Alligator mississippiensis: one gene and its partners. The protein of the gene in region 1 purifies or fractionates together with the protein of each later gene. This does not show direct contact. Links are inferred from orthologs where the notes say so. Each region holds a gene or a part of one and is shown in the gene's direction. Other genes may lie near its edges.

Region 1 (7,430 bases):
GGCTTTATTACAACTCTTTGCTAAAAGGAAGCTGATCCCTTTGTGCTAGCATGAGGAGCACAAGTACCCTGATTGTGTTGGAGGTAATAAAAGCAACAGGTGCTTACTACGTAATGAAAGGAATACAGGTTGTATAGCACAGACCAACCAGATAGTTGCAAAAAAACTTTATAATTTTACAAAAAGGAAGCAAAATTCAACACCTTAAGACCTGAAAGCTGACACCCTTGCTCCAGCCTTTTGTGTCTAGCAAAACTTGCATGCTCACAGAGCAGCCACAACACAAAAGAAATTCCTTGCCCAGGAGAGGCTTCCATCACCCATCTTCCCACAAAATATGAAACATCACAACAAGAAAGAAGCATAATTCAACATCCTGCTTGCCATCAGGTAACTTGGTGGTAAACAGACCACTCCAACTTTTACCTGAGCCTATTTTGCATAAAATGAACTTTTCCAACCAGGACATCTTACACCACCTTTCAGCTCTTCTTTGAAATATGAATTTTCAGTTTCTACCTGGAAGAAATTTTACAATCTTTGCACTCTCCTATACCTGAGGAAGGGCATGTATGCCCGAAAGCTTGCAAACAAAGAATATATTTTTTTCTAACTGTCTAGTTGGTCTAATAAAAAATATCTCCTCCCCAGAAGTTCTGCTTACTTCTTCCTGCAGACCAACCTGTATCTCTCAGTCATGCTGACGACTTTCAGTGCTGAAAAAAGGAAAAACTCCAGAAGCAGCTCACTCTTTCAAAGATGTTTGTGGGCAGCACAGTCAAAAGCAGCAGTAGCCTTCACAAATTTTATGTAAATACTATAAAAGCAAATATCTTAAATATTGTTTCTATTGGAGGCAAGGTTTTTTCTATCTATCCCTATTGGTGACTGGCCACCCAGCTTTAAGTGCGTTGCCCTTCATATTGGAAGAGCTAGTTGCTTCTCCTGCCCTTGATGGCAATTTTAACTTTTTAGGGCCAAATCTGACACAGGTCAAAGCTGAGCATCCCTTTTGTATTGTAAATGATTGGGTTGGGCTAGGTTTGGAATTAAATATGTTAGGACACTGCCATAATATTTAGGTCTCTTAACAGAGATCTCAGTTGCTGATAGATTACCCTCCTGAAATCTCCCTACTGAAGCTGTTCCCTTCCCATGGCCACAAGTTGGTTTGCTAGGGGATTGTTTGTTTTTATTTAGAGCATGGTATACATTTACCAGGAGTTTGCAAACTGACATAGAGAAGACTGCCCCTCCTGCTAATGTAAAGAATGCAAACACAAGGAAGGAAGCACTTTGGATCTTTATTAGTGTCCTTTTGGAGATCCAGCCCTGCTCTCATTTAAGTCAAATGAAGTTTAACCATTGCCTTTAATGGGAGTAAGAGTAATAAGACCCGGGTCAGCAAAGTACATAAGCAATAAGTATTTACTTAGCTTTACGGCATATGCTTAAACAATTTGTGAAACTGAAGGCTAAATGTTAATTAGATGTTAACCTGACACTGATCTTTTCAATATTTTTTTTAAAACAGCCTCATTTATTAATACTTTAAATGATTTAACCAAAATAATTTAAAAAATCGAAATTACTTTATACATTTCTCCAGTTTCTCCTCTTGTCTCAGGTAATGAAAGATGCTCCTTATGTTCAGTTTATTATGCACTGAAAACAGCATACAATTCTGCTCTGACTAGATTGAGAGTCTGGCAGAAGTTTAAATCCAAACTAAAATGTCTTCAGAGAACTAAAATCTTCATCTCCAAATTACTCCAGTCCTACTACATCGGTGTTTGTTTGTGTGTTAAAAAAATCCTAACTTTTAGGTCAATGTATAGAAGGGTTTTTTTTTATCATTTAAAGAGAAATACATAAATGAAATATTCAGTATTAGACTGGAGGAAAAGCTTATGACTATTTCTAATTGTGTGCAAATATGGTGCAAAATACAGTGCTGCCAACTCTCATGATTTTTGGCATTGTTCTTAAAGAAGTAATAGGTGCCTATGTGTCACTCTGTACTGCATGTAGATGTTTTAGACATAATGAATAGCTATGTAAGAAGAAACTAATTTCAACATTGATGAGCCAGTTGATGTAACATGGAGCTACTGCTGCTTCTAAATTGTGCAAACAGTGTGACTAAGAAGCAGCTAAAAGGTGAGTTTTTAAATGTCTCACTATGACGCACTAGAAAAGTTCTGTGAGCAATATTTTTTAAAACCCCAGTGAGACTATGCCCTTCTTCCTCCTTGACCCACAGAGTGTCACCCTGACCCTCTGATTAATTCATGAGTTTCTCTCATCGATATGGGGTGCAAGACCAGGGCAGAAACTAGCTTGAAGCTTAAAGGAGAAATCTTGTGTGCATTTTATTTAAAAAAAAAAAAAAATAATAGTAAGCTTCAAAAACTTAGTTGCTCTTGTTCAAAGGCAAAGCATGAGAGAGAAATTTATTGCACAATATTGAAATGGAGTAACAATTTGTTTTGAGGTATAGGAGTTGCATAAAGATCATAAATGAACAGTCATTTACAATAAATGAATGTAAAAAGTCACAGGATAGGGCTGCAGCTAGGTCAAACCTAATCTTCAATTTCTGTTCTGAGACTTGGGTATAAAAAGAAGGCTCTCAAGAGCATGTTTACCACTGTACACAAATATACATAGTCCATAAAAAACAAGTGTGAAAAAAACACTTGTTTGCAGGGCGGGATTAACCCTTTATTGGGCTCTAGGCAAACAAACTCATGGAGCTCTAACTTAATACCATATATTTATATTACTTTTTTTCACTGAATAATTATAATATATAAAATAAGCACAACTGGCCCTCTTCTTCCTTTAGGGCCCTAGGCATGTGCCTCGTTTGCCTGTGTGGTAATCTGGCCCTATCTGTTACTAAAGTCTGTAGAAGTTCATTCATAAGAAAATGAAGCAACTGGGACCTGGATTGAAAAGTCCTGGTCAGAAAGAAGCAGGAGGCAAGCCTTGATGAGCATAGAGAGCAGAGCTGCGCTGCCTGGTGTCCAAGTGAGAGCACAGCAGCCTGCAGGAAGCAGTCTCTCAAGCCTTTCTCCCAGCCTCTGTAGCCCCTGTTCCCCGCCAGCCAATATGCTGCTGCTGTGTCCCGTCACTTGCTTGGGAGGCTGTTGGGTTGCAGATAAGCAGACAGTAGTCCTTCTGTGGGAGTCTGTGCTGGGATGGTGGGGCAAAGCTGGTGAAGGCATGGTTGGCAGAGGGCAGCATGGTATGGAGTACTGCCAGGGACATCAGCATAAACTGAGTAGAGAATCCTTTGGGTGGGGGCAGCAGGGTGTAAAACTACTGCTGTGTTACTGATCTGCATGTTTTACTAACCCCCAGTATAGTTACTATAGTTGGGATTAAACCCCTAAATGCAACCCTTGCCTGGCAGAAAGATGGCATTTACATGATCTAAACCTTTTTTGTATCAGGAGCCATTTGTGAATACTGATAGCCAGTCCTGACCCAGTGCCCCTCACTCCTGACCTGCTGCCCCCAAACCCCAGCCCCCAGTGTGTAAAGCATGGGGGGGGGGCAAACAACCCCTGGCAGGCAGGAACTCTGCCAGCCTTCAAAGGAAAAAGCCAGGGCTTCCCACTTTCTTTCCTTTAAAGGAGAATCCATTTTTTAAAGTTTCATGAGTTACTTTTAAAGTTTGTTTGCAATGTTTTCATATACCAAACATGCTGCCTCCTCCTCTTTGCAACACTGCATTTCCCGAACTTTGTCATGCCTTTGTGCCCTGTAAACAGCTAGTGCAGGTACTGCACAGATGCTGGGCAGGGTTCAAGTTACAGGTGAGGGCTGAGCACCCCCCCAAGATTGTAAGTCCTAACCTTGGGGGGGGTCTCCGATTCGATTAGGGCAGCCTGATGGGCAGCCCAATTTTTTTTGCAGGCCCCCCAGCACCTGATTGGGGTCATCTGCCCCCGCAGCCTTTCCTGCCCAGAGCAGAGGTGGCTGGACCCGATGATCTCACGAAATCCCTTCCAGCCCTAAACTTCCGTGAATCTGTGAAAGAGTCAAAGCGTAACCGGTCGGCCCCTGACGCCGGGGAAGGCGGAGTTGTGCCGCGCTCCCGCACCTTGAGGAACCGGGCACGCCGAGCCTAGGGCGCAAGGGGCACCTGGATCCCTGCCCACGGAGGCGCCTCACCCGTGCCGAGTCCTTCGCCGTGCTGCGCCTAGCCCGCTCCTCCCCCGCCGGGAGCAGCGAGCCGGGCAGGGACCGCGGCGTCCGTTGTTCCACCGGCTCCGATCCCCAGCTGGAGGAGAGGGGCGGGGTGGGTGACGTCACAAGCGGCCCCGTCCCTCCTCCCAGGCTTCCCGCGCGGGCCTTTCTCCCTTAAAAGGACAATGGGGGCCGTATGCAAAGCAGCTCGATTGAAGAGAACTGAGCCGTGGGAACGACGCATGCGCGCAGCGTCCCGCAGGCGGGGACACGCACGAACTAGCGAGCGAGCTAAGCGTTACGGGCGTAGGAGCAGGAGCGCACGGGGCGGCGCAGCCAAGTTGCAGGCGGCGGCGGCGGCGAGGTGAGGTGAGTGCTTCGCGGTCTTCGGGCTCCTGTGCTGGAGATTACTTCATTTTCCGCGGGCCGCTCCAGCTTCTGCTCGACCCAACTGCTGCCCCGGGGCAGCTGCCCCCGCTTTGTTCGCGAGCGGAGGAGCCCCGGCGACCTGTTGGTGCCGTCCGCGCGGAGACGTGTCCGCGGGCGGGAGGAAGGCGCGGAGCCCGGGTCGCCTTCCCGCGTGGGGCCGGCCCACGCCCGCCGCCTGCACCTGTAGCTCGGGCGGGGGCGCCCACAACGTGGCGCGGGGTAGGCTGCCCTGTTGTGGGGGGGGTCCCTCCCCATGTTGCCCTTTAACTGGGGAGGGGGGGAGCGTGCAAGTGGCCCGGCCTGGCCGGGGGGGCGTGTATATGTGTGAGCGTGCAGGTGGGGTGGGTGGGTATGCATGTGGCCCGGCCTGCTGCCCGGGGGGGGGTGCAAGTGGCGCGGGTGCGTGTGCAAGTGGCCCGGCTGGGCTGTGCGCGCGCTCTGACACGACACGTGCTCGCGGCCCGGCCGAGTCTCGTCCCTGCGGGCCCGGGCGGTGATGGCGCCTGGCCACTTCCCGAGCCCCAGCGCGACTTGCCAGCAAACTCCTCTCCGCGTGGCACCCGCAGCCGCGGCGCGAGCCGCCCTTTCCCGCTGGCCCCTCACGTAGGCAGGAGCAGGCTGCAGGGAAAACAAAGGGCTGGTCGCGTGCGCCGCGGGCGCTGCTGGCTGTGGGCGATGTGCCTGCCTCCCCCAGCCGGCCGGGGCGGGGGGCACGGCTTGGGCTGCTGGTGGCACCCTGCTGTGGGGGCCTGCTAACTTCAACTGGTGCCCGGAGGGGGGGGGGGGAGCCGAGCACAGAGGGCTCCGCGTCTCCCTCCCCAAGTGGCTACAGGCGCTTCACTTCCCTGCGACCTCGTGGCAGGGGCTGTGGGAGGGTGGTTGGGGGGAGGTAGGGGTTGTTTCTGGCTGCACCTTGCCTCATCCCAGCTGGTTTTGTGCACTGCGGAGAGGCTCGAGGTGCCCAGAGTGGCTGCGGGTGACCCTGAGCCTTGTTGTCTACCTGATCATCATGGCCTCTGTGAAAAGTAGGTCGTCCTCGCGGGGGTGGCTGGGGGGTGGGTGGTCTTTGTTCCAGGCTTCCTGGGCTCTGGCGGGGGATGCCCTTCTGTATATTTCCCTCCCACACCATTGCTCCTACCCTAACTTTTTTTCTTTTTGCCCTAACTTCTTGTTCCTTGGTGTCATGGGCGCAGCTTGAGAACGGAGCTTGGCCCCTTGGGTGTTCCTTTTTTGTTGCCAGTCCCTGGGCATGCTGCACGCTGGAAGTCTGCCCGGGAATCCCAGCCCTGGCCCTGTTGAATTCCCGGGACTTCTCGGGTTTGACTTAAGGGGGCTGGGATTTGGGGCCTGACCCACTTGTTGTTTGGAGGGGTTTTGGAGGCTTTTTGGAGGGTTTAAGTCCTTTTTCAGGGGGGCATTTAGCAGTATCCAGTAGCTACACAAAGCACCTTGGTAGAAAAATGGCAAAGTATGAGCAGTTTAGGGGCTTCTTCTCTTTACTGCGAGAGATTTAGAGAGCGTGTAGTTTTAGAACTTTTTTTTTTTTTTTCCTACCTCACTTGGCATTATTATGCTATTACAAATACTTGTCCTTTGAGCTTTGTTTCAACTGGGAATTGCAGGCTGAAACAGAGCTTAAGAGTTCTTGTTTTTGCCATAAACTGGTTTGTTATATATAAATTCCAAAAGAGCCAGATTTTTCTTGAAGCAGCTTACTATCCATGGGGTGGGGGGGAGAAATGTGTGTACATTTTTATTTATTTATTTTAAGAAAACAACCTTATTTTGAGTAAGGAGAAACACTTGTAGTTGTTTAAGTTTCCATTTCATTTGGACTTAATTTCTATTTCCTTTCCTATGCTCATCTGCAGATATGTTACTAAAAAGATATAAGGGGAAGCTACTGTGGGTTGTCTTGTTTACTTGTTTGCTAGGCCGCCTCTTTCAGCCCCTAGACCAGGAAATACCTGGACAAAGCGGTGGCAAGATCCTGTTTTCCTTGTATCAAAAGCTCCCCCTGACTGCCACACCTGTAGGGTGAAATATCCTAAGGTTGCCCCATAGATATTCCCCCATCAGCTTTTCCTCTAAGAATTGCCAGTCCTTGGGTCAAGATTATTTGATGATAATTGCAAAAAGAATTTCCTGGTCTTGCTTGTTTAGCAAAGTTGACTAATTACATGGCCTCTGACTTGATCTAATTGTTTTTAGCATTTTAAAACCAGCAGAAATCTAAAAGACTGGAAGCTTTTATTATGTACTTGTTTGTATTTTCATGAGGGAGGTATGTGTATTTTAGATTGGCACTATAAGTGGCATGCTCTGATTGCAGATGTGGCTTATTTCTAATAGCATCTAGGTACACGTATGATAAATAGAAAGGATGAGGATACTTACTGTTGTGGGATCAAATTTCCAAGAGGGTGTAGGGCCAGATGTTGTTGAAACAGGTTAGCATTCATATATGGAATCAATAATGTACTTGAACCTATTCTGTTTGCTTTTTCTCTTAGTGCTTGTGGCGGGTTGGGAGCTTTTGGAGACTTCTGTTTTTCCATAGACCAGGCACAGCACGAGGGTGGTAACGCTTCTGTGAACAGCTCGGCTCCTGAGCACTCCCTCCTACAGGTGAGACTATAAATGGCCCATCTACAGAAGCCCACTGTGGCTCTCTCTAAATCGGTACATGGCTAGATCTGTTGTGAATGACTGACTTCCAGGTTTTGACAGTCATCCTACCAAATGGATTGAGGTCCAGCATACAGTGGGCACATACTTAGTTTCTGAATGATTTGCATCTGGTA
Region 2 (7,023 bases), on another chromosome or scaffold:
TGCAGCCTATATGAGCCACATCCACCTGCCATCTGATACACCACAGGCAGTTGTTGCTGTTATGATCTGCTACTGCAGCCTGCAAGAGGTACCACAAAAAAAACAGGAGAAACTGCCATTTTTCACACTGGTATCATTGAACTGTTGACAATGACTTTCTCTAGAATTTATACCTTCACACGGCTGCTGGAAAAAGCAAGGTTGGAGTAACAATTACTACTCTGCCTTCAGCTATAAGTCTAGAAAACAATTAGAGGCTTCCACTCTGTATTACATCTTTCATAAGGAACTCACATTAAGTCCTGAAAAAAGGATCTCCACATATTTACCTCAAACACTGCACTTGTTCTTAAGGCAGTGGGGAGACCACACAGAAATACAATAAGGCATTAAACTGCACTTGGGCCCAAGTTCCTGGACATAAAGGGGAAGGAAACCATTACATAAGAAATGATACCAGTGGCCTAGTACTTTACATCTGTCTTCAAGCACTGCTAGAAGGTGGGGATCCCATCTCCATTTTACAGAACCTGAATCTGAAGCATGAGGATAAAGGGATGTGCCTGGAGTCATACAGCAACACGCCTGACACAGCAGTGCTTTGAACCCCTTTGTTCCCATTCCTAGTCCAAGGCCCACATGTTTATTTCCATAGGAAATTATCTTTAAAAATACCAATGCAGCACAGTGTCACAGCTGGAAGGTGGCTCAGCATCAGAGCAGGTCAGCTACAGCGGCTGCAGGATCTCCGCAAAGCATAGGCTGGACAAACGTTTGGAGGGAGCAGCTGGGACACAGATGGCTCTCCCTGGAGCAGACCTATTTGACACATATGGGGAACGTGGGCCTTAGGCCCACAGTGCAAGTTCATAGAGAATATGTGCCTCTGGATACGTGTCAACTGCTTTTGTGGGACAAACAAGAGAAAACAGGGATGGGAGTGAAAGTGAAAGGTTCAAAGTGAGGACAGTGAGCAGCAAGCGTCAGACAGTGCTCGGTGAAACTCTGCTAGCAAATGAGAGCGGACAAGGGACAGGAGAGTGGCCTTGCAGTCCCCGGGGCCTCCTGGACAGAGCCTCCTTCCTGGGTCGATATGTTGCCAGCCTGGTCAGGGCCAGCAAGAGGTCTCGGCGCCGCGGCTCGGGTGACTGCCTCGTCCCTCCGAAGCCTGTTTCCCCGTGACGGATTATTAAGGCGATGGCCCGACGGCACGAATGTAACACAAGTCCCGCTGACTTGCAAGGGGCGGCGGAGCCCCTTCGCAGAGCCCGCAGGCACAGGGCCGGGGCTGGAGCTGTCACAGCCCACGCGGCCCGTCCCCCCCGGAGCAAACGAGTCTCCCTGCGGCCCCGCGCCCGCCAGCGGCCCCCGGCCCATCCCCACGCGTCGCACCTGCCGCGCGTGCACTCGGAGCCGCCGCGCTGCCCGCACCTGTAAGCGTCCGCCACGCTCCCTTCCGGCTCCTCCCGTCGCTCCCCGACTTCCGGGCCGAGAGCTTCCGCTTCCGCCCCACTGCCAGGCGGCCAGAGAGCACCCCTCTTCCCCAGCCTCCGCAGGCCATAGAGACACGGGGAGGCTAGAGCGCCACCCGGCCGCCATCTTGGGGAGGAGCCAAGTCGGGCTGGAGCCTGGAGGCGTCCGGCGAAGCCCTGCGCTGGGGAGGGGAGTGTAGCTGACGTCAGTGGCCCCTCGGCCCTGCCTGAGGACAGGGATGTTTCGATGAGCGACCCCACAGCTGTTCTGGGCTGCCGACATGTTATCGCAGGCGATAGCATACGATAGTTCCTACTGCCAGAGCCTAGACGTGACCCCGAAGTGGAAGTGTTGTTACACAGCTGGGGGAAACGGGGTGGAACGAGGCAGATGGATTTTGGCTTCAGTTGTACCTCCTCCTTTCCTAGAGCTACAGAGCATTTTGTGCCTCAAAATTTGTTTGACATCTTGACTATAATAGTCCAATAATATGTAATATTATAAGCCACAAGTCTGTAAGTATCATGCATAGTAGAGGAGACTAATCATTTGTGGGTGGCACAAGGGAAAAGAGTCATTTTACAGTACACAAAGGTCTGCATCACTTCACTGGAGGCAGAGGTAGGGGCTGGCTGTAGATACCCATCTGCTAGGAAGGCTAGCACACAGCAGGGCCATGAAGCCTTAGGCACAGTCTGTAGTGTACACAGCAGGAACACAACTAGATATTCCTGCAAGCGGTAAGGAATAGTTGTAGAAGGACATTCTGCCTTTATGCCCCAACCCTGACACCTAACACTGCAGAGTTGGAGACTACTTGATAAATGCTCTCTCTGACATAGCAAACACAACATCCTACATTTCTGAGCCAGGGTGGGGCAGGGAGTAGAGTGAAAACCATCATAAATAGCTTCCTTCTACCAAACACTGCTCAAAAAAAAAAAAAAAAAATTTTTTTTAAATTGCAATCATCAATAGTATTTAGGACTTCCTCTCAGAAACATGCCATTTGTGGGCTTTGAAGAAATCCCACTTAAGTATGTTAGGGTAAGATAAGTCTGGTAGGAGGCTTAGATTTCCTTTGTATGCTCATCTTCTACTGTTTGGGCTCAGTCCAGACTGACAGCATTTACTTTAAAATACCCTGCATTGCAAATTCAATCTGAAAAAAAAAAAAAAAAAAAAAAAGGAGTCAAGTGGCTCTAGAGCCTACTGCCTAGCCTTGGTACTCAGCCTGCAAAGAAAATAGGAGAGCAAGAATTGTTACAATGCATCAGCCTGCCAAATGCCAATGGCAAGGACAGTAGATGAGTAGCTGAGTTTGTAACCAGGAATGATTTGCAATATTTCTCCCCTTACTCTAGGCCAGCTTGGCCATTACATACAAGTAAACACAGCCAAGAGAGTCATCTCTCTATTTTTATTCTTTGCATCACGGTGAAAGATTCTGGTCTTCAAGGTGCCTTGCACACAGTCACAGTTGCCCACTTTCTAGAAAGAGTGGAATGCCCAAGTGCCAAGCAGGATGCAACACGAGCACAAACTGCTTGGGGTTGCGGCGTGTGGAGGGGCTACCTAGCAATAAAATGAAGAGTTTAGCAGAAACTACAACTCATCACTTACCTTAAATGATCTGCAAGTGTTGTAGTGCCATGCCAGTGGGCACAGACAATAAAATAACCAACCAACCAAAGGTAAACGCATAACCTGTTGCCTTCACCACCTACTGGCTCCTGCCTGGATTCAATAGCTAATTCACATCAGAGTGGCTCCCAACCTGGCAAGCGCTAGATAACTCCCGACTAGTAAATCACCTGTGCTGAAAGCCCGGGTGACCGTCATCACTGATGAAACGGACTTCTCGTGATCACCCCGAGCCCCACCAGAGGTGCTGCAATACCTAGGAGCTCATCCCAGCCCGGGAAGAGATCTCCTGGATTCCTGTCAACCCTTCCGCGCGCCCGGGCTCGGCCCGGGTCTCCCTCCTGTACTGCAGAGAAACGAGACAACTGCGGGGGGAGTGGGAGTGGTCCCGGGACGACCCTCTGGCAGCGAGGACAGGCACGTCTCGACCCGAAAAGCCTCGCGGACAAGAGATTTGGGGCCCAAGCGGTCCCGGCTGCGACCGCGCTACATCGGGGCGGACCCGGGAGCCGCTTCCCCAGGCCGAGCCGGGAAGTCACAGGCCTCCGACAGCGCGGCGACGTCCGCCGAGCAACCCGGGGGAGGGAAAACAGGCGGAGCCACTGCAGATGGCGGCGCCAGCCCCGCAGGGAGCAGCGCGGCACAGCGCACGCCCCGCCCCCTCCTTGGCACCGCCCTATGGCTCCTCCCGCCATGCGTCTCAGCCAACCGCAGCACGAGCCCAGGCCCCTACTCCTGCCCCTCACTCGCGAGACCTCCTCCGCGAGACCCCCTGACAAGAACTACGCCTCCCAGCAGCCCCCGCGAGGCCGTCGCCCCAGCCAATCACCGCCCGAGGAGAGGGGGCTGGTGCCGTAGTGCCCCTGTGGGCGGGGCCCACCGGAGCCAATCAGGCGGAGGGTGGCTGCAGCGGCGGAAGCGCAGCTCGGTTCTGAGCATCGGTGTCAAGTGGAGAAACGGCCCGGAGGGCGGCTCGCACAGATCCCGCCGCGCCTTGCCTGGCAGGTAACGGGGCGCGAGGGGAGCTCCAGGCGGCGGGCGCAGGGCCGCGGGCGCAGGGCCGTGGCGGTGGCAGGAGGGGGTCGCGGCTCCAGGGCTCGGGCTGGGCGGCGGCGGCGGCGCCTGGGGGTGGCGAAGTGGGTGGGTCGGCGATGGCCCGTGCACCGAGGCCGGGCGGGCGCAAATAGGCTCTGCCACCCGCGCTGCCTTGGCGCCTCCCAGCGCTCCGCCCGCTCGCGGCCGCGGCGCTTTATTTCTGGGGAACATCCGGGCTCTGCGCGTCCCTCACAGCAGCGCCGCTGGGAGGGAGCCGAGCGCGGAACGCCGCCGCTGATTGGCCGGCAGTTTCCCCTTTCATCATTGGCTGCCCTTCTCATGAGGTCCTAGCCAAGCAGGGGTGTTCATTGGCTGGGGCGCGCTCCCGTACGCCTGCCGCGGATTGGCTCGGGCGCCACCGCGACCCCGGATTGGCGCAGGGCTCGGAGTGCCCTCAGCTCCTCGGCCAATGAGCGCTGGCGCTTGCGCCCGGGCTGGGGGAGGGGGGTTGGCGTTTGGTGCGGCGGCTCCGGGACGGGGGCGGGGCTGCTCTAACCGCGCCGTGTCTCGCAGGGGCCATGAACTCGCAGCAGTTCCCCCGCGCCGGGGCCTCGCCCGCCGCGCTGGCGCAGCCCCCGCCGCCCATCCCGGCCAGTGGCGCCGCCGGCCTCATCGCCCCCGCAGGCTCAGGTGAGACGGGGCAGCGCTCAGGGGCGGGGGGGACCGCTCGGGCTGGCCGGGACAGCATCGCCCGCTCTCACACAGCCACAAGCAACCGCCTTCGTGAACCTGCCCCCGGGGATCGTCCCGGCGCCCGGAGCTGCCTGTGCAGAGTGCAGCCGAGGTCACGGGCGGAGCTTGCTGGAAGAAGCCGAAGCAGCTAGTCCGTGCCCCTAAGTGCAGCAGGCTCGGCCAGGGGGAAGAGGGAGCAGCCGCGGGGGCCTGCAAGGCCCTCTTCAGAAATCAGCCTGGAAGCGGAGGGACGCCAGGGAAGGGAAAAATCTCTGAAGTGACTCCAGAGCAAGGCTGACGCTAATTAGTATCAACTGTGTCTATGTCCAGAGAACCCACCAGGTACCCAGAGGACACTGGCACCTTGAAAAGCACTTTGGGGGCATCAAGTCATTGACAGATTGTTCTATTAGAAAGTAGGGTTTTTTTAAATATCAGCACCTCTTACTTACTAAGCCAAACTATATGTCAGATGGTTTTTAATCCATTTTTCGAAGCATTAATGTTCTAGTCTTTCCATTACACTCATTTCTGGGTCTTGATACTGTTCTGAGCTCTGTGCTGACAAACATTTACTTCCCCTTCCCTGCCCCCCCGGAGCTCACTGGGAAGTAGGGATTTCAGGACCTTCCTAACTGATTTTGCTACACTGTTGGTGCCTTCATCAGAAGTCAGTCAGATCCCATGCAGTAAAATGGAAATAAGTGTGTTTAGAGCATGTAAAAATCTAATAATAGTAGGAGACTGAGACTTATGGTGAGTATAAGCTATGGGATGTAGGTTTTGATTGACTCATAAACAGAATAAAATTTATAACATTTCAGCTTTTTGTTTTTTGTCACCATGAGCTGAAAATGAGAGAGGATTCCCAGTCTTAGTCAGTGTTATCACCCTCAAGATCACAGCATTGTGTTAAACGTTGTAACCTTTTGCTTTGATACCTGTGATTGCTTCGGCTTCGGTCCAAACTTAGATAACTTGTTTAATAATTTTGTGTTAAAAAAAAAATTAACGAAAAGTCAAATGTTGAATCAGTGGCATGGGGCCTTAGGCACTTGCCCAATGGTCTGTAACGGTTTCTTCGGTGTTCAAAATGCATTTGGTCACTTTTAAGGAAGGTTACAATCAGCTGTTTATCTAAGTAGACTGATTGTGCCTTGAGGGTGTTTTGGAGGACTGTAAGAGCCCTCCCCCCCAGACGGAGGGTTGCTCACGTTCTGAAGACTTTAATTGTTGGGGTTGCATTCATTCAAGGATTAATGAATTTCTCCTGTCCAGGAGTTTTGAAACAACCCTGCTTTGCTTTTAGCACTTTGTTTCTAGGCTTGTGGGTAAGAATCACTTATTTCGTAGCCCCTTTGCTCAGAGTTTCTTTTTTTTTTATTAGCAAGTGATGAATCTAATCGAGAACCAGAAGTTGCTCCTAGAGACCATGTTGGCTCTGGTGGCTCTCTCCAGTCTCGTGAAGAGAAGCAGGAACCAGTGGTGGTTCGGCCGTACCCACAGGTTCAAATGTTGACTCCACACCATACCGTGCAGCCTGGTGCTCCAGTTACAGTGACAGCTCCTCCGGCACACCTGACTCCAGCAGTGTCCCTTTCCTTTTCGGAAGGACTTATGAAGGTATTGAGGAGGCTCACACTTAAGAGGGGGGAAGTTGAAGGAATAACAGGAGAGTAAATTCTTTCTTAGCAATCTCATCAGCACAAAGTTAACTTCAGTTGTATTTTTTTGTTTTTTGTCCACTAGAAAGTTCTTCTGAATGGTATTGTCTGTGTGATTCTTCTGTGCTTTCTTCCTGACTGTATGCCTCCTTGTGGGGTGCTGGGGTCTGCTCCAGGTAGAAGACTGGTGAAAATCTCTGAGCATTAATTTGTTGCTTTTCCATGTATTTTGTTTCCTAAGTTAAGGATGATCTAAATCAGTTTATGAATCCCCTTTTGTTCCTGGATGGGGCAAGGAGGGGGAGTAAAAATGATGCACTATAACATTTTGAAATCAAGACAGTAAAATGAAGATATATATGGAGCAGACCAGGTGGTTCTTTCTTCTTGACCGAACCCTCCCTACAAAGGAGATCTTTGTGAGGAAAGGCTTTGACTTGAGAGGTCACAGGCAGTCTTCTTTTTGCTTTATATT
Region 3 (7,681 bases), on another chromosome or scaffold:
GTTTCAGGGACCTTGAAGAGCTGATAATCACAGACCTCCTCTATTTTCTGAAAATGAAATAAACACAGAACTTTTTTTTTAAACCAGATACAGACATTTAACTAGATTTCATAACAAGCCCCCAGTACAATGCATTAGCTCTTGTGTGTATGTATCGGAGCGCTTTTTGTGCTAAAAATAGGTTGAGTCCTGCCAATTCAGGGCTTGCTCAGCATCATAAAGCTGCAATGCCCAAACAACGTATCTGCTGCTAACCAGGACCTAAGTGCACCACGAAAGTGGAGAAACATCTGAAAAGACTGTGCGAAACAGTCATTTTCTGAACTGAAGGTCTTTCTTTGTGTACTTAAAAGCTGTCTAGTATTTCTGCAGCATTTCAGTGGAAGCCTTCCTGCATCCCTGGTTTATGCTCGTCCATTTCTCCTCCTCTTCAGTTGAGCGTGAACTATGTCGCTGAATCCTGTCCCACCCAAGCAGCGTGGGCCTGCCTGTGACAGGCGCGCCACAAGATAAGCCCTGCACCATCTGCGGACACTGTCAACCCCTTTCTCTGCCAGATGTGCTGCTCTGCTCCCCGCCCCGCGTCCTGCCTGCTCCCCCGCTTTCTGCTCCCCGCCCGCGCCCTGGCTGCCGCTCCGCTTTCTGCTGCCCGCCCCGCCACCCCAGGTGCTGCTCGACTTTCCGCTCCCTGCTGCCCTGCTCGCGGCTCCCCACCCTGTGCTCCCAACCGCGGCTGCCGCCCGCGCCACTCGTGTCGTGCCGGCCCGGCCCGGCCCGGCCCCGCCGCACCCCGCTGCCCCGACACGCTGCAGCCCGCGGGACCCGCCTGTTGCTCGCCGGGTCGGGTCGGGTCGGGTCGGGTCGGGTCAGTCCCAGCTGCCCGCGCCGCGCTCTCACCTGGCCCGGGCCCGAGAGGCCGCAGCGGGCGGGCGGGTCGGGCCGGTCCGGTCCGGTCCGCGCTCACCGCCCCCCGCTTCCTGCCTCGGACCCGCCGCTGCCCGACGTGCGCCTGCGGCTGCTGCCAGGCGCGGCCGATCGTTCGGCTGCATCGGCGCTCGACTCCCGCGTCTGGGAGCTCGGGCGAGCCGAGCTAATCGGGGCTCGGCCCTCGACTCGCCAGCCTGCTCCCCCCCGCGACCGGGGGGGGGCGGTCTGCGTTTGCCTGCGCGGGGAGGGTGGAGCCGACTGGGCCGCCGTCACTGCCCGCATCAGCGGGGCCGATGTTGGGGGAAGGGGATCTTTGCATCGGTGGTTGATTTAGAAGTCTGTGCTCTCTGGGCCATGGCGATCGATTAGCTCCTCCACACAGCTCGGTCCCAGAGAGCGCTCGGGACGATCGGTGCTCGATTGGAAGCCCTGAAAGGCGCGGGCGGCCGGGGGGTTAACCCCTTGTGGGAAAAGGCGGGAGTTTGAATGGGGGGCAACGATCCATGGGGGCCTGGATCGGAGCAGGCGCCTCTCGCCCGGCCTTGGGTTCAACGTGCTGGGGAAAGGGTGGGGGGACTTACGGGTTTCTTGCCCATTCAACCCAAAAAGTGAATTTGAGGCTTGTCCAGTCTAGATGAAAGAAGCATTTACTCTTTAAACGAGTCACTCTTGCACATGCATAGCTAGGTCTATTTTCAACTGGATTAACCTGTGCGTTTCAGTATGGATAAGACTTAACCAGGAGAAGCAACAAAACCGGACAAGGGGAAAGGGATTGCTAACAATATAAAGGGGAGAATTTGCTTACAGAGTGGTGTTTTAAGGAAGAAAAGGCTCAAAGGGACAGGAAGAGCTTTCCAAGTAGACGATACAACAAGAAATTAGCTATTGGAATAGCAAGGGCAATAAGAGGATGGGGGATTCTTACAATACAAGGAGTCTTCCGCAATCCTCACCAGCGGGGCGAGGGCTGCAGTGCTCATTGTTCTTTTCTTGTCTTCCCCCCCTGCAAAAAATGTCCTCGGTCGCTCACAGCTCAAAACCACCTCTGGTGTTAGCCCCTGACCATAATTTTTCACAGTATGCTATGTTACAAATGTTCTGGTCACAACCATCTCATTCCCATGAACAGACTTCACTTTCCAAACTAACCTAAAGTTTTATTGACAGGTTTTTTTTTTCAATATCAACATATTGATTCTTTTACATGCTGTGAGCCCAAGTTTGGTATCACAGCTACTCCATGAATGGTAATAGCTGATACAGGCAAAGCAGCTTTCCTCAAAGGAATGGATATGCAGATACAACAAAAGGACCTTTGGTGGAGACTTTGACTCTATGAATAAGGGGCACAAATTCTCTCTGAATGCTGAGATGTGAACAGTCAAGTAGTCACTATTGAGGGGGAAACGGCACATTCCTTAAAGATAAGCCTCCTCTTGGGTTTCAACTGAATGCCTGAAAGATGACAGCATGAGGTTTCCGCATAAGTTTAGCACTGAACATGGGGAGTGAAGTGTGCTGAGATGAGAGCAATGCAGCACATGGGATTCTAGTGTTGACCACAGAATAATTTAAACATTTCTGAATCAACAATTATACCTAGTCTCTCACTGATTATCACCATCCCCTTTCAGTTCCTATCACATGTGATGTCATATCAGTAAATATACCTGGCCTTTGAAAGTAACATAAAAACAGCATAATTTGGAAAAGTTATTCTGCTTCAAGAGGGGCTTAAGGCAAACATGCCACTGGAGACAGTCCTGGATTCAGCCTCACCTGTGACTAGTTCACCTCTCAACTTTAGTGACCTCTCTTGAAAACTGTTGGATTTCAGCTTCAATCCCATCATCTGTAAAAGGTGAGTAATGTTTACATATGTAAAAAAAGATGTAATAAATACTTAACAAGGATGTTGCAAGGCTAAAAACGTTAATCTCCATAACAGATCTTTGGCCAAAATGCAAAATAGAAGAGCTAAGCACTTAAACATTTTCACCCTTTTAATAACAATGAGTACACTAGCACCTCTCACAGCTTGTCAAGGCCTAGTTTTATTAGTTTCACACTGCATTGCTTTGGTGATCATTCTTTGATAGCACTTTTTAAATATTATTTCCTTTTTCCTGATGACAGGGTTACAGTACATAGGACATATGCCTCAGTGAGTCAACATCTCATGATTCTGGGGAACATACCCTGCAAATGTTAAGGTAAATGCTTAGTCACAACTCCGCTAGTTATAAACCAATATCAACCAGTTGATCAGTACACCTTAGATGGCTTGTCTTCCCATAAAAGAGCTAACACAGGGTGTGTCTACGTGAGGTGTTTCATGTTCAGAAGACTGAAGCTACTGTGCATTAGCACGGCAAGCAAAGCCTATGTTAATGCACAGTAGATTTAGTCTAATGCACAGTAGCATCAGAAAAACGTTCATCTGCACTAATGCACAGTAGCAACAATTATGATGCATTTAGTACGTGTCATAACAGGTACTAAACTTAATGTAATTACAGTGCATTAATAAACGTGTAGATGTGCCCACAGACACTTCACCATAAATCCAGATTTTAGCATTCTTGTGCTCAGGTTGAAGGCCTTGAATAGCCTCTCCAAGCCTGTAATTAGCAACGTGCAAGACAAAGAGTTTATCTGTATGGCTCCAGGGACACAGCCTGGTGAGAGCATTTGAACATTACAAGATTGAAAAGGATCTCATCTCTGAAAGGCGCTTATTGCTTTGGAGGGAATAAACCCACTCCTGGCACAGAAGCTGTTATCCATGGGTGTGAAGCAGTTACCTCAGTTGGGGGATGTGATACCACAGCTATCAGCGACAGCTTGTTGGGGACACGGGAAAAGGAAAAAGCGAGTCCTTCGAAAGGAATAAGAAGAGCAGAGGTGCCGTTGCGCTTCAGTCCTCAACACTTCAACATCCTGCCCCCGGGCACCTGATGACGAACAGATCATCGTGAGGGCTGGCTGGGACGTGACATGGCTGTCGCGCACCTGCACACATGTGAATCCTGGTCCCCTGGGGCCCCGGGTCAGGTCAGGGTAACGCGGCGCTGCAGAGCCCAGCACCCTCCTGGAATGGAGACCCCGGGCGGAAAACACCCGGCGCTGGGCTGGGCCGGGCCGGGCCAGGCGGGATGCCCTGGAAGCCCGCGACAAGGCGCGCTGGGGATGAGCCGGAGCCGGGCAGCTCTGCAGGAGCCGCCGGGCCTGCAGGAGGCAAAGAGGGGACCGCGAGCAGCTCCTAAGCACCCTCTGCCGGCAACCAGCGGGGCGCTCCGCACGAAGGGGACGGGACCGGCCCGGGGCGAGCCGCGCGGGTGCAGCCGGCACCTGCCTGGCTTCTAGGGACCTTATGAGGTCAGTGGCTCCGCGGCCCGAGGGCACTGCCCGCCCGGGCGAACGCAGCAGCGGGCAGCCACCGCGAACCCGGACCCCGACGGGGGGCGGGGCCTGCCTCCGCTATCAGGCAAGTCCACGTCCCACCCGGGTGGGGGTTCAGCACAGCCCACTTCGTTCTAGGAGAGGGCCGCGAGAGCAGCCCTAGACTCCACTTGGAACAACCCAAGTAGCTACAGCACTGCGCAGGCGCTACCACTAGCACCAGGCTCCGGCCCCCGGGGGGTCCTGATGACTCCGTGCTGGCCCCCACGCGGCCCGGCTGGTTTGAGGTGTCCCGCGCATTCGCCTGCGCGAGTTTCCGGGTCAGGCAGAGCGGAGGCAGCCCGCGCGTCCCGGAAGTGGCTCGCGGAGGGCCTCGCCCGGCTGAGGCGGCGGGAGGAGGGAGCGGGTGAAGCGGCTTGCGGCCGCCTCCCGTCGCGATGAGCGCGGCCGGGCTGGTGTCTGCCGCGCCGCCGGCCCCCGTGCCGCCCGGGACGCTCCCCGCTGCCCTGCCGCCCGGCCCCGAGTACTACGAGGAGGAGGAGCTGGAGAGCGCCGACGAGGAGGACGGCGAGCGCAGCGCCCGCGCCCGGGACTCCGACGAGGGTGGGCGGGGCCCGCGCCCGGGAGCCTGGGGGGGGCTGGGGGAGACTCGCACCTTCCTCGCTAGGCGGGGGCGGGTGTGTGTAGTGTAATGGATGTACGTGTAATGCCCATACACGTGTGTGTGTCACGTACACACGCGTGTGTTCCTACAGCCTTGCATGCGCATGTCTAAAAGCACAAGCTTTTGTGAGCTGACACACTTCATCCCCACTTGGGACCTGGTGGGGCAGGAGGAGCCGGGAGGGTCACTGCTTTGGGTCTTAACCTCAAGATCAGGGTTTCTCAGCCCACAGGTTTTGACCCAAAAGCAGGGCGCAAGAATATAGGGGAGGGTTGAGAACAAACTCTACAAATGGATTTTTCTTTAAAGGAAAAAAATGTGGGGAACCGCAGCATTTCCTTTGCCGTCCCCCCATGTCTCACACACACACTGCTGCCCTTCACTCTGGGGGCAAGGGCAGCAGGTTGGGGGTGAGGGGCACTGGGTCGGGACTGGCCATCGATGTTTACAAATGGGTCCTGGTACAAAAAAGGTTGAAAACTGCTGCTCTAGACTCAAACTCTCCTGCCCCCTATCAGACTTGAGGAACCCTGCTTTTTGGCTCCAGTAAAATAACCCAGTAGTTCCCCCATTGCAAAGAACTGGGACAGCAGCCAGGCCAAATGGGTTTGATGCTGTGGATTTCTGTTTCACATCTCTGGGTTTATTTTATGAATGGTGGGCAGGGGTTTGCGCACCTGGGTGGTAATGTTGCACATAACTCATGGCAGCCGTGAAAGGACTTCACAGCATCCCTGCAACAGCCAGGTTGAGAATCATTATGTTATTTCCACAAGAGGGTGGGGGGGAAATTGGTGTAAAACAGTCACAGGAGAAACAGGAGGGATGAGGGGGGTGGAGTTTGGGCTGGTTTTCAGTGGAGAGAGGGGTGGTAGTAACGGAGGAAAGTCCATAGGTAGTGAGAAGAGTGTAAGGCAGGGACGGGCAATTATTTTGGGCAGAGGGCCACTTACTGAGTTTTGGCAAGCCATTGAGGGCCTCATGATAGGTAGCCAGGGCCAGATAAATATTCATTTTCTAAATTTTTTTAGGGGCCCTGCGGGCTGGATAGAATGGCCTGGCTGGCCACATCTGCCCCATGGACCGCAGTTTTCCCACCCCTGGGGTAAGGGGAGGAACAGAGGAGTGAAGTGAGGGAACATAGTAAAGTAGTACAGTGACAGGTTACAATGTCAGAGAGATTGTGTGAGATGGCACTAAGCATTAGTACTCGCCTCTGTTACATGTAGATTCTGAAGGACTTCTGTGAGGTGTATGCTTGTAAATACTAAGCTGAATAAATCCCAGTAGCATTACTTAGCACCCTTCCTGGAAGTCTTGTCTCTGTTGTAAAACGTAACAGAATTTAGTTCTATTCTTTTTTTGTTCTGGGTTTCAGGGAAAGTGTGGAGGGGTTTTGAGACTTGTAAAGGAGCTGGGGTTTGCTCTAGCAAAGAGAATATGGCAGGGATAAAAATGTAAGAAAGTCTACAACACATCCCTTATGCTATGCCTAGCTTTCATGGATGGCATGAGGATTTTCTAATTTACTATAATTAGCTAGATTTATTCAAGAAACAAAGGGACAAGATGTTTTGTGTCAGCTGATTTAATTTTCTATACTATTAAGCTTTATTATAAATGCTTGTTTTAGCAAACAGGACAGCTATGTGTGGAAAACACGGATAGCAGCTTGTGATGGTCTGAAGATGATTGTGTCAGAATTCACCGTTTAGGCTGCCCTAGCTTAATTAGAAATAAATGCAACTAGACAAAAATGACCTGTTTCTTTAAAATGATTTGATGCTGTGTTTTTAGTGATATCAAATTATTCTACATTTGATTCAGATACTGAGGATGCTAGTGAAACTGACCTGGCAAAACACGATGAAGAGGATTATGTAGAAATGAAAGAACAGTAAGTATTCCTCCCCCACCAAAACAAAGTTTAATGGCATCTTTCTTTAAGTTTTTTAACTTGCTAAAAAAGCCAGGGGCAGGTTATTTCTGTCTGGATAGTTCCTAACATAACAGGGCTGTTTAGTTATATTGGACTTATTAAAGGTTCCCTCTGTCTACAAGCACAAACTACTTAGCTGTTGCATCAGTGTTCAAACAACTTAAGTGTTTGCTACTGTCCTCCTGGATAGATGTGACTTCACTGGAGTCATTCATCTCTGCTCTGGACATGAATGGGCCCCCTGTGTGCTTGGCGGCGGACCCAGAAGTGGACTAGAAGCACTTCTGGTCCACTTCCAGGTCTACCGCCAAGCACACAGCGTGCGCCCCCCCCCCCCCCCCCCGCCCCCCCCCCCCCCCCCGGCTCCTGTGGGACGCTCCATCCGCCTCACCATCTCAGCCTTCATGAGCCTCCTGGTACCTTGAAGTATGTAGAAAAAAGATTTAAAGCTGTGTCTATGTCCGAATCTCTCCAAATCAATTTGGAGTGATTAAAGGATCTCCTGATTCAATTCAGAAACTTACTCTTCTCATATAAAACCTTCACTACCCCTTTAGTTCTATGATAAACCCAAATGGTTGCTCCTGGTACAAATCAATAGTCTGGCTTATGTTTTCTGTATATTTTTTACTCCAGTGTGTGTTGATCTACAGCAGGGGCGGGCAGTTATTTCAGGCAGAGGGTCACTTATTGAGTTTTGGCAAGGCATTGAGGGCTGCATGACAGGCAGCCGGGGCAGATAAATA
Region 4 (7,365 bases), on another chromosome or scaffold:
TATGACTGTCCATGTTCCCAAGTATTTCCTTTGGAAGCCCACCGAAGCAAAATCACTTGTTTAGAAAATAGTCACGGAGAACAGTGGGCACTGAGTGGCTCTGAGGATTCTCTGCTGTGTCTATGGGACTTGGAGCTCTGCCAATGGAAACACGAGATCTGCTACTACAAGGTACTGCACCAGCAGAGCTTGGGAACACAACATTATTAGTCATTTATTCCAATGAGCCAGTACAGACATAACTAGTCCAATTTTCAAATAGCGGGCTTTCCAAACACTGTAGCAGCTAGGTGCCTCCTTTTGGCATCTTAGGCCTGAACTGCACACTTGTATCCAGGTTTAGCTACCTCGTTAAAGAGTATGCTTTCTAGAGAGCCCACCGATGACCTAGTGCTGTTAAATTTTTTCTAGCCCCAAAACTCACATCTTCAGAGATGCTTGGTCAGAACTTATCCACCACATTCACTTAATTGTTTGCTTGCATCCTGTTCTTGGTTATGCACATTGTTTAGCTGAGGTCAAGTAAAAGCAGCATAAAGGACTAACAGGCTCAGCCCTGTGGAGTCCCATAAAAGGGGAAGTGATGGAAGAGCTTGAGCTATTTTTCAGCTTTTCACCTGTGCCTGACAGGCCTCAGCCTTTACCCGATAGGCTGCACAGTTTGCACTCACTCCTTTTGGTAGCCTTCTGAGCTTTTACAGGACACTTTTTTTGAAGCGCTTTAGAAGCTTAAAAGCAAAATGCCAAGCTTGTTGCACTTTCAGTCTCGCTTAGAACCACTCTGGAAACATTGGTTAAGTTAAAATGTATGCCCGTTCTCAACTACCTAACAGTCAAACCATCTAGGTCGTCTTAATCTTCATGTGCATTTACCAGTACATTAGGGTCTAATTCAAACCCATTATCCATTTTTAGCATTCATCCTTCTTGAAAGGTATTGAATGTGCTTGCTTCTCAAAAGATGATAAATACCTGTATACTGGATTACTGGATCAATCCATTGCAGTTTGGGATGTTTCAAATGGTAAGTAAATCTGTATCGCCAGCTAAGACAAGAGGGTACACCTTACTACATCATTTTCCAACCTTTTGAGCTAAGCCCCCAATTCTGTTTGTACTGACCGGCCCCCTCGCCCCAGAGGAGCAGCGCAGCCAGGCACAAGGCATCCCTCATCCTAGCAGCTGCTGTGGCTCTGCTCGGCTCAGCTCTAGCACCTCCTGCTTTGGCCCTGCTGTGGCTCTAGGCTGCACGCCCACTGCACTGGGCTCCCAGAGGTGCAGCAACCCCCTGGCAGAGCCTGCCCACCCCCACACCCCCCCATGCAGCTGCAGTGGCTCCTTGCAAGCTTCTTTCCCATGCCCCACTGTGCTGCACCCCCACCTCCATGCCCCCCAGGGGGGTACGCCTCACAATTTGACAACTTCTGCTTTATTGTATATATTAAACAGGTATGTAAGCTCCTTTCTGCAGTACAAAGGAAAACAAAATTTACACTCAGTTTAAATGAGAAACTAACTTGGTTACATGTTAGCACAAGGAATTTGGGATCTCTCTCCTGGCCAAAAAATAGATTTTTGAGAGAGAGAGAAAGTCTCTGTAAGTTGCAGCTACATATAGATGGGCACTGACCCCTACCTCTGCCTCCCTTGAATCCATGAGAACATCCCACAAGTGCCTGCCAGTACACCCTGACCTTCTGTGACACTGCAAAGAGAAGTACCATCCCCAGTGTCAAAAAGGCCTCATTACACTGACTAGCCCAGGGGCAGGCAGTTATTTCTGTCAGGGGGACACTTACTGAGTTTTGGCAAGCCATCAAGGGCCCCATGTCAGGCAGTCTGGGGCAGATAAATATTCATTTTCTACATTTTTTAGGGGCCCCACAGGTGGGATAGAATGGCCTGGCAGGCCACATTTTGCCCACCCCTGAACTAGCCAGTGACATCAGTGTCTAGTTTTTGCCATAGATGTAGTACTTTCTACAGCAGGGAAGCTGCTTGAGGGCTTGTCAGGGTCGATGTGTAAGGTACCTTAAAATTCTGTATTTAGACTCATCCTAAAAGCTTAGGCCCACATAAGAGCAAGAACATCATATGTGGCATAAGGGAAAAAAATGTACGCTTCCATTTTCCTTGCCTTTCCTCTGTTAGATACTGTTGTGTGCTCACTCTTATTTCAGGGTTACATAACAATTGTGAACTTTATGCTTTAGCTTGTTATAAGGCTTGTACTTGTCATCCTCTCACAAAGGATGGGCAGCTAGTTTAAACAAAGATGTTTAACTCCAGCTGTGTATTCTGCAGTTTGGATTAGTAGACTTCCTTTTGTTAAGCTGACGTGACAGGGGGCTTGCCTTCTGATCTGTCAAACAGGTATCCAGAACACTACTGGAACCGTAAGTAATGCACTTTCTTCACTGCAGGTTACCGTGCAGTAGCAAGTGCTTTCAGGGCAGCGTGCCCATGACCCTCTAAGACAAGTTAATCTCTGCAAGTTTTATGGCAAAATCCTTTATAGGCTTCTATTATCCACCCCGATCCTTGTTACAGTCTAAAGGAGCTGATGACAAACTTCCCACCCTTCCTTCACATTAACACCAGTAATTACGGGGCCATTTATGGAAAACGGCAGGGCCTCCTGTCCTTCAAGTGTAACGTCTTATGCTGCAAATCATTTCCTTTTCATCTCCTGCAGGTGCTCTGCTGGCTGTGCAGTGTGTGCATGCAACTGCAAGAAGAATCGTGCCAACTGCTGATGGGTTTGTTGCAACAACAAATCTTGGCTATATAATTCGTGAGAAGTTCCACTGCCCACAGTCCAGCAGCCACCAGCACGACCCGCTCCAGCACGTGGAGGCAACATGCACAGTCAAATCCAGGAAGGGAGAAGAGGCAAATTCAGGAGTGCAGCATCACAATCAAGGAAATACCTCCAGACACCAGAGTCAAAACCGCAAGCCTTCACAGATCTGTGCAATTGTGTAAGAGGAGCGAAGCAGCAGATCAGGACCACGCAGCCTCGGGACCCAAGATCAAGCGTTCAGGCCGAGCCTCTTAAGTCAGAAGCCGAGAGCTGGGGTCAAATTCGGGAGTTACTAGATCTCTTCTCTGCTCAAATCTACGCTACGCAACAAAGAAAACCTAGTTAACTATAGTATTTCCCAGTGTATTTGATCAGTTAGCATTCAGGATTTCTTAGTGCCGCTGCACTGCAACAGTCAAGTAACGCACAGGGAACGTGGGCGCTGCGCTCGTGACGCTGCCTGCGCTGCGTTAGGTTTTAACGGGTCAACGTGCTGTTAATGCGAGTGCCTCATTTACCAGAAGCAGAGTCAACCGTCCGACTGCTGAACCGTTAACACGCGCCATGAGTACACACGAACCCCTGCTGTTGTGAGCTGCCACCACCCCCCGCCCGGCCTGCGCTAGGAGCTGCGCACGCCTGGTCTGTGTGTACAAGGGCTGCAGAGCCCGCAGTTCGCACGCCCATCGCGGCAGGAGCAAGCTACCGGCCCACGAGCCCTCGCTGCCTGCGCACAGAGAGAGAGCAGCCGCAGATTTCTGAGACTGTGATTACAAGGGTCGTGTGTCCGGCGGGCTGCCGCAGGGAAGGTCTTTGCACTAATCGGTTGTTTGTTGGGATATTATTAGTTCCTCCTAAAAGTAAAGGAACAAGTTTTATGGCGATGTAGTTCGGAGGCGGTGCCCCCTCCCCCACACAACTTTCAGGATAGCTTTACTAATAAACTTCATACGAGAGTCTCGACTCCAGCGGGCTGCTTGCGCTGTGCCCGGGCGGCGGCGGCGGCGATATCTGCCGCGCGGCTACGACCGACCGGCCGCTCGACAGGCGCGTGCGGGAGCTCGGCACCGCGGCCGGCCGCCCACGCAAGAGGCGCTCCGCACTTCGCCGGGAAGCCCGTGCCTGCTGCGGGCAGCCCCGTGGGCCCCGCGAGCCCTCCCGCGCCCGGCGCACCACGGCCAGCCGGGCTCGCCCCGCGGTCCGGCCCGGCCACGCCGGAGGCACGGATGCGGCTTCTGCTTTGTTGTGAATAAAACGTGTCAGGTGTTCGCCGGCGGCCTGGGCGACGCGGGGGCTGCCCGAGCCGAGCCGGTCCCGCCCCACCGGGCAGAGCGCGGCCCTGCACCCCTTACCTCAGATTTCGCGGCGCCTCGGGCGGAAACGGCCCGGCCTGGAGCTGGAAGAGCCGCCGCCGCCGCCCCCTGACGCGCGCTAGTGCCGCCCCGCGCGATAGCGGCGCCGGAAGCCGGCAGCGCGGCCGGAAGTGGGCGGGGCCGGGGCGGGGCGTGCGCGGTGACGCAGGCGCCGAGGACGCGCTGACGGGGCCGCCGCCCGGTGCCCGAGTTCCCAACATGGCGGCGGGGGGCGGCGGCGGCGGCGGCGGCGGCCGGGGGGGCAGCGCCCCGCGCTGGGGCGGCGGCCGCGCCGGGGCCCAGGAGAAGCTGCCGGTTCACGTGAGTGCCCGCGCCCGGCCCGCCCCGGCCCGCCCCGCCCCGCGCCGGCCCACCCGCCCCGCCCCGCCTCACCCCGCCCCGCCCGTCTCCCCGCAGGTGGAGGACGCGCTCTCCTACCTGGACCAGGTGAAGATCCGCTTCGGCAGCGACCCGGCCACCTACAACGGCTTCCTCGAGATCATGAAGGAGTTCAAGAGCCAGAGGTACCGGCCCCGGCCCCGGCCCCGGCCCCGAGCCGGCGCAGGCCCGAGCCCGAGCCCGAGCCCGGAGGCGGCGCGTCCCGGCACCCGCGCTGCGCTGCGCTGCGCTGCTGGGCTGGGACCCGCTTGGCCCCGTGCCGTCCTAGCGCGGCGGCGCGTGGCCCGGGCAGCTCCAGGCAGGGCTGGCTCCGAGGCGGGCGTGTTGTCCGGTCTGAGGGCAGCCCCTTTCCCTGCACCGCCGCCGCTGGGCTGGGCTGGGCTGGGCGCTGGCGTCCGGGGTCCTGACCCGCTCCCGGGAGCTTGTTCTGCTCCCGAGCCGTCTCCCCTGGTCCTCCCCGCAGCGGGGTCGGGCTGCGGCTCCCTCTGCCCCGCGGCTGCCCGACAGCTGGCGCTGACTGCGACCAGCTTGATTCGCCCCTGGCCTCGCCTGTCCTGCCCCGTCCCGCCTCGCTGCGCTCTGGCAGGGGCCGCGGGAGGAGCAGGTCGAGGGGCCTTCGCTCCCGCTGCTCCCTCCGGGGGACGGACCTTCCAGCGGGGCGTGCGGTCGCGGCCTGGTACCGTTCGGCCCTGGGACCCGCAGACCTGCACAGATGCCTGTTTCAGGGGAAAGGCAGGGCTCTTGCTGACGCCTGCACACCTGGCTCTAGCGTACCAAAATGCTGACGTTGCGCGGTCGCTGCGTAAGCCTGCGGGGAGGAGGTATCTTCGCTACGTACCCGGAGCTCAGCGAGCAGTACTTCCCCCTGCTGCGTTTGACATCTTGTAGAGGGAGCCATGAGAAATGTAGGCGCTTCACAGATACCTGCAGGGAGTGAGCACTGTCTCAGTGCTTAAGTCTTTCAAATCCCTGTGCTGTTAAACAAAGTTATTTTTGCAATCTGATGCATCTGTACCTGCGTATGAATTCCTTTGTGGTTGCATTTTGTGACAAAGACCCTGCATGCAGTTAACGGTTTCGTCTTGGTTCTAGCATTGACACCCCTGGCGTAATCAGGCGCGTTTCCCAGCTGTTTCACGAACATCCCGACCTCATTGTAGGATTCAACGCTTTCCTCCCTTTGGGCTACAGAATAGAGATTCCAAAGAACGGGAAGTTGAGTATACAGTCGCCGCTGGCTAGTCAGGTATGTTAACATGCTTGGATTACTTTACGTGAACACAAATGTATGTGCGCATATAGATAAAGTAGCACGCAGGGTCTGCATAGTAAATGAGCTGGTTTGCCTTTATTGCAGTTAGTTAAAGGTTTTCAAATTTTGAGGGTATGGGGTTATAAAAAACAGTTTTGAGGTTACAAAAAAGTTTTTCTTTTCCAGAAATGCTTCTTAGTTTGATTGGAATAAAGCTCCCACACATGCTGCAGCCCAGACATTTGAGTCAGATTTGAGATGGTGGCTGGGTGCACATGTATACATGCTCCATTCAGTCTTTGTAATCACACTTTACGTTTTAAAGGAATATTTCAAAAGATCTTATTTCCTCCTTCCCATTATGGCACAAGACGTTTACTGGCGTGATACAAATAGCCGCGTTTTATTCAGATGCTCATATACTGCACTGAAGGATGTGGTATTAAAACACAAATAGATGCATGCCATTCTCTGCTTCCTTCATCACTGTGCGGTTGTTGAGTTTGTAACTGAAAAGTCTCAGCTAAAATTCTGTTCAGAAGCTTCTTGTATAAACCTTAATTTCCACCATCTACTACTCTTTCAGATCTCTTACGTGCATTGATTGTTTTGTATTACTTAGAAATTTAGCATTTTGACTACTGAGCATGCATCTTGATAATCTGTCATTCTTCTGGAACAAAGTAGTTTTACTCTAACTATACTGCAGGGTGAATTCAAACCATCTCTAAAGTGAAGAGGATAGGGTAATGTAGTGCCAATCACAAGCATTAGTGAATCAGGTTTCTCACGGACCTTTGGTCATTGGATTTTGATTACTCTGTATTCCTTTGTCAAGATCATGGCCAGTGGGTCCAGGTACAGCATTTGAAAATCCCTTGAAAATGAGGCTGCTCTGGTGGAAGAATTGTTGATGAAAACTGGACCTGAGAAGGTATCCACCCTTTGATAAAAGGACACAGAGCAGAGAATATGAATCTGGTGATGAAGTATGGCATTATTGTGCATCAAATGCCTTGATGTTGAGTGACTAACAGGAGACCTGGCTTCATAACTGGATACTGAAATGAAGTCACCATGTGTTGTGGTAATACAAGGTCTTGTTGACACTTGAAACTCGCTGCTGGGTAAAATACTTTCAGAGATGATCTACAAGGCCTACAGGCCCCCTGCTGTGAACCCCTGATTCAGAGAGAGCTCTCATATTTAGTGTATTCTTCCCTGGGAGTTAGTGAGATTCCTCGCTTTCATTCCCCCAGTTCTCAAAAGGTCCAGTATCACAAAGACTCTTCTGCTAGAATCCCTCAACCTTCCTCCTTGCATTAGCTACTGATGGACACTTGCTCCAGAACCAGTTCATACAGTCGTGGTTGGCCTGGGACAAAAGAACTGTGTTGCTCGTGTACCTGGAGGCACTTAAGAAAGGCCGTGGCAGCACTGGCTTGAGAGGAGTTGCTTTTCACACTCAGTTACTAATTGCATAAGCCGTTTTCAAGCATTGCCATATTCAAGAGATGTAGGGCAGAGAGCATGGTCAGATTCAATGCATTCGGATTCCA

Evidence for each region.
Region 2: the proteins of SINHCAF (region 1) and SAP130 purify together in Homo sapiens (affinity purification with mass spectrometry; 3 studies listed by BioGRID and IntAct, counting the BioPlex papers as one, with this or other methods). This does not show direct contact. The link is inferred for Alligator mississippiensis from reciprocal best matches to the Homo sapiens genes SINHCAF and SAP130.
Region 3: the proteins of SINHCAF (region 1) and SUDS3 purify together in Homo sapiens (affinity purification with mass spectrometry; 3 studies listed by BioGRID and IntAct, counting the BioPlex papers as one, with this or other methods). This does not show direct contact. The link is inferred for Alligator mississippiensis from reciprocal best matches to the Homo sapiens genes SINHCAF and SUDS3.
Region 4: the proteins of SINHCAF (region 1) and SIN3B purify together in Homo sapiens (affinity purification with mass spectrometry; 3 studies listed by BioGRID and IntAct, counting the BioPlex papers as one, with this or other methods). This does not show direct contact. The link is inferred for Alligator mississippiensis from reciprocal best matches to the Homo sapiens genes SINHCAF and SIN3B.

Annotation. Positions count from the first base shown.
Region 1 is NC_081827.1:114,555,125-114,562,554, forward strand, and holds the start of SINHCAF (SIN3-HDAC complex-associated factor), read left to right. Parts: upstream 1-4,427; 5' UTR 4,428-4,566; intron 4,567-5,569; exon of another isoform or gene 5,570-5,651; intron 5,652-7,139; 5' UTR 7,140-7,254; intron 7,255-7,430. UniProt on the Homo sapiens protein: Subunit of the Sin3 deacetylase complex (Sin3/HDAC), this subunit is important for the repression of genes encoding components of the TGF-beta signaling pathway.
Region 2 is NC_081830.1:39,528,726-39,535,748, reverse strand, and holds the start of SAP130 (histone deacetylase complex subunit SAP130), read left to right. Parts: upstream 1-4,011; 5' UTR 4,012-4,122; intron 4,123-4,725; 5' UTR 4,726-4,730; coding exon 4,731-4,842; intron 4,843-6,271; coding exon 6,272-6,507; intron 6,508-7,023. Other genes in the region: UGGT1 (UDP-glucose:glycoprotein glucosyltransferase 1), read right to left, coding at 1,393-1,561. UniProt on the Homo sapiens protein: Acts as a transcriptional repressor. May function in the assembly and/or enzymatic activity of the mSin3A corepressor complex or in mediating interactions between the complex and other regulatory complexes.
Region 3 is NC_081833.1:22,486,011-22,493,691, reverse strand, and holds the start of SUDS3 (sin3 histone deacetylase corepressor complex component SDS3), read left to right. Parts: upstream 1-4,680; 5' UTR 4,681-4,769; coding exon 4,770-4,935; intron 4,936-6,823; coding exon 6,824-6,893; intron 6,894-7,681.
Region 4 is NC_081839.1:449,102-456,466, forward strand, and holds the start of SIN3B (paired amphipathic helix protein Sin3b), read left to right. Parts: upstream 1-4,359; 5' UTR 4,360-4,374; coding exon 4,375-4,476; intron 4,477-4,572; coding exon 4,573-4,679; intron 4,680-5,646; coding exon 5,647-5,800; intron 5,801-6,644; exon of another isoform or gene 6,645-6,719; coding exon of another isoform or gene 6,720-6,740; intron 6,741-7,365. Other genes in the region: NWD1 (NACHT domain- and WD repeat-containing protein 1), read left to right, coding at 1-171, 916-1,024, 2,696-2,985.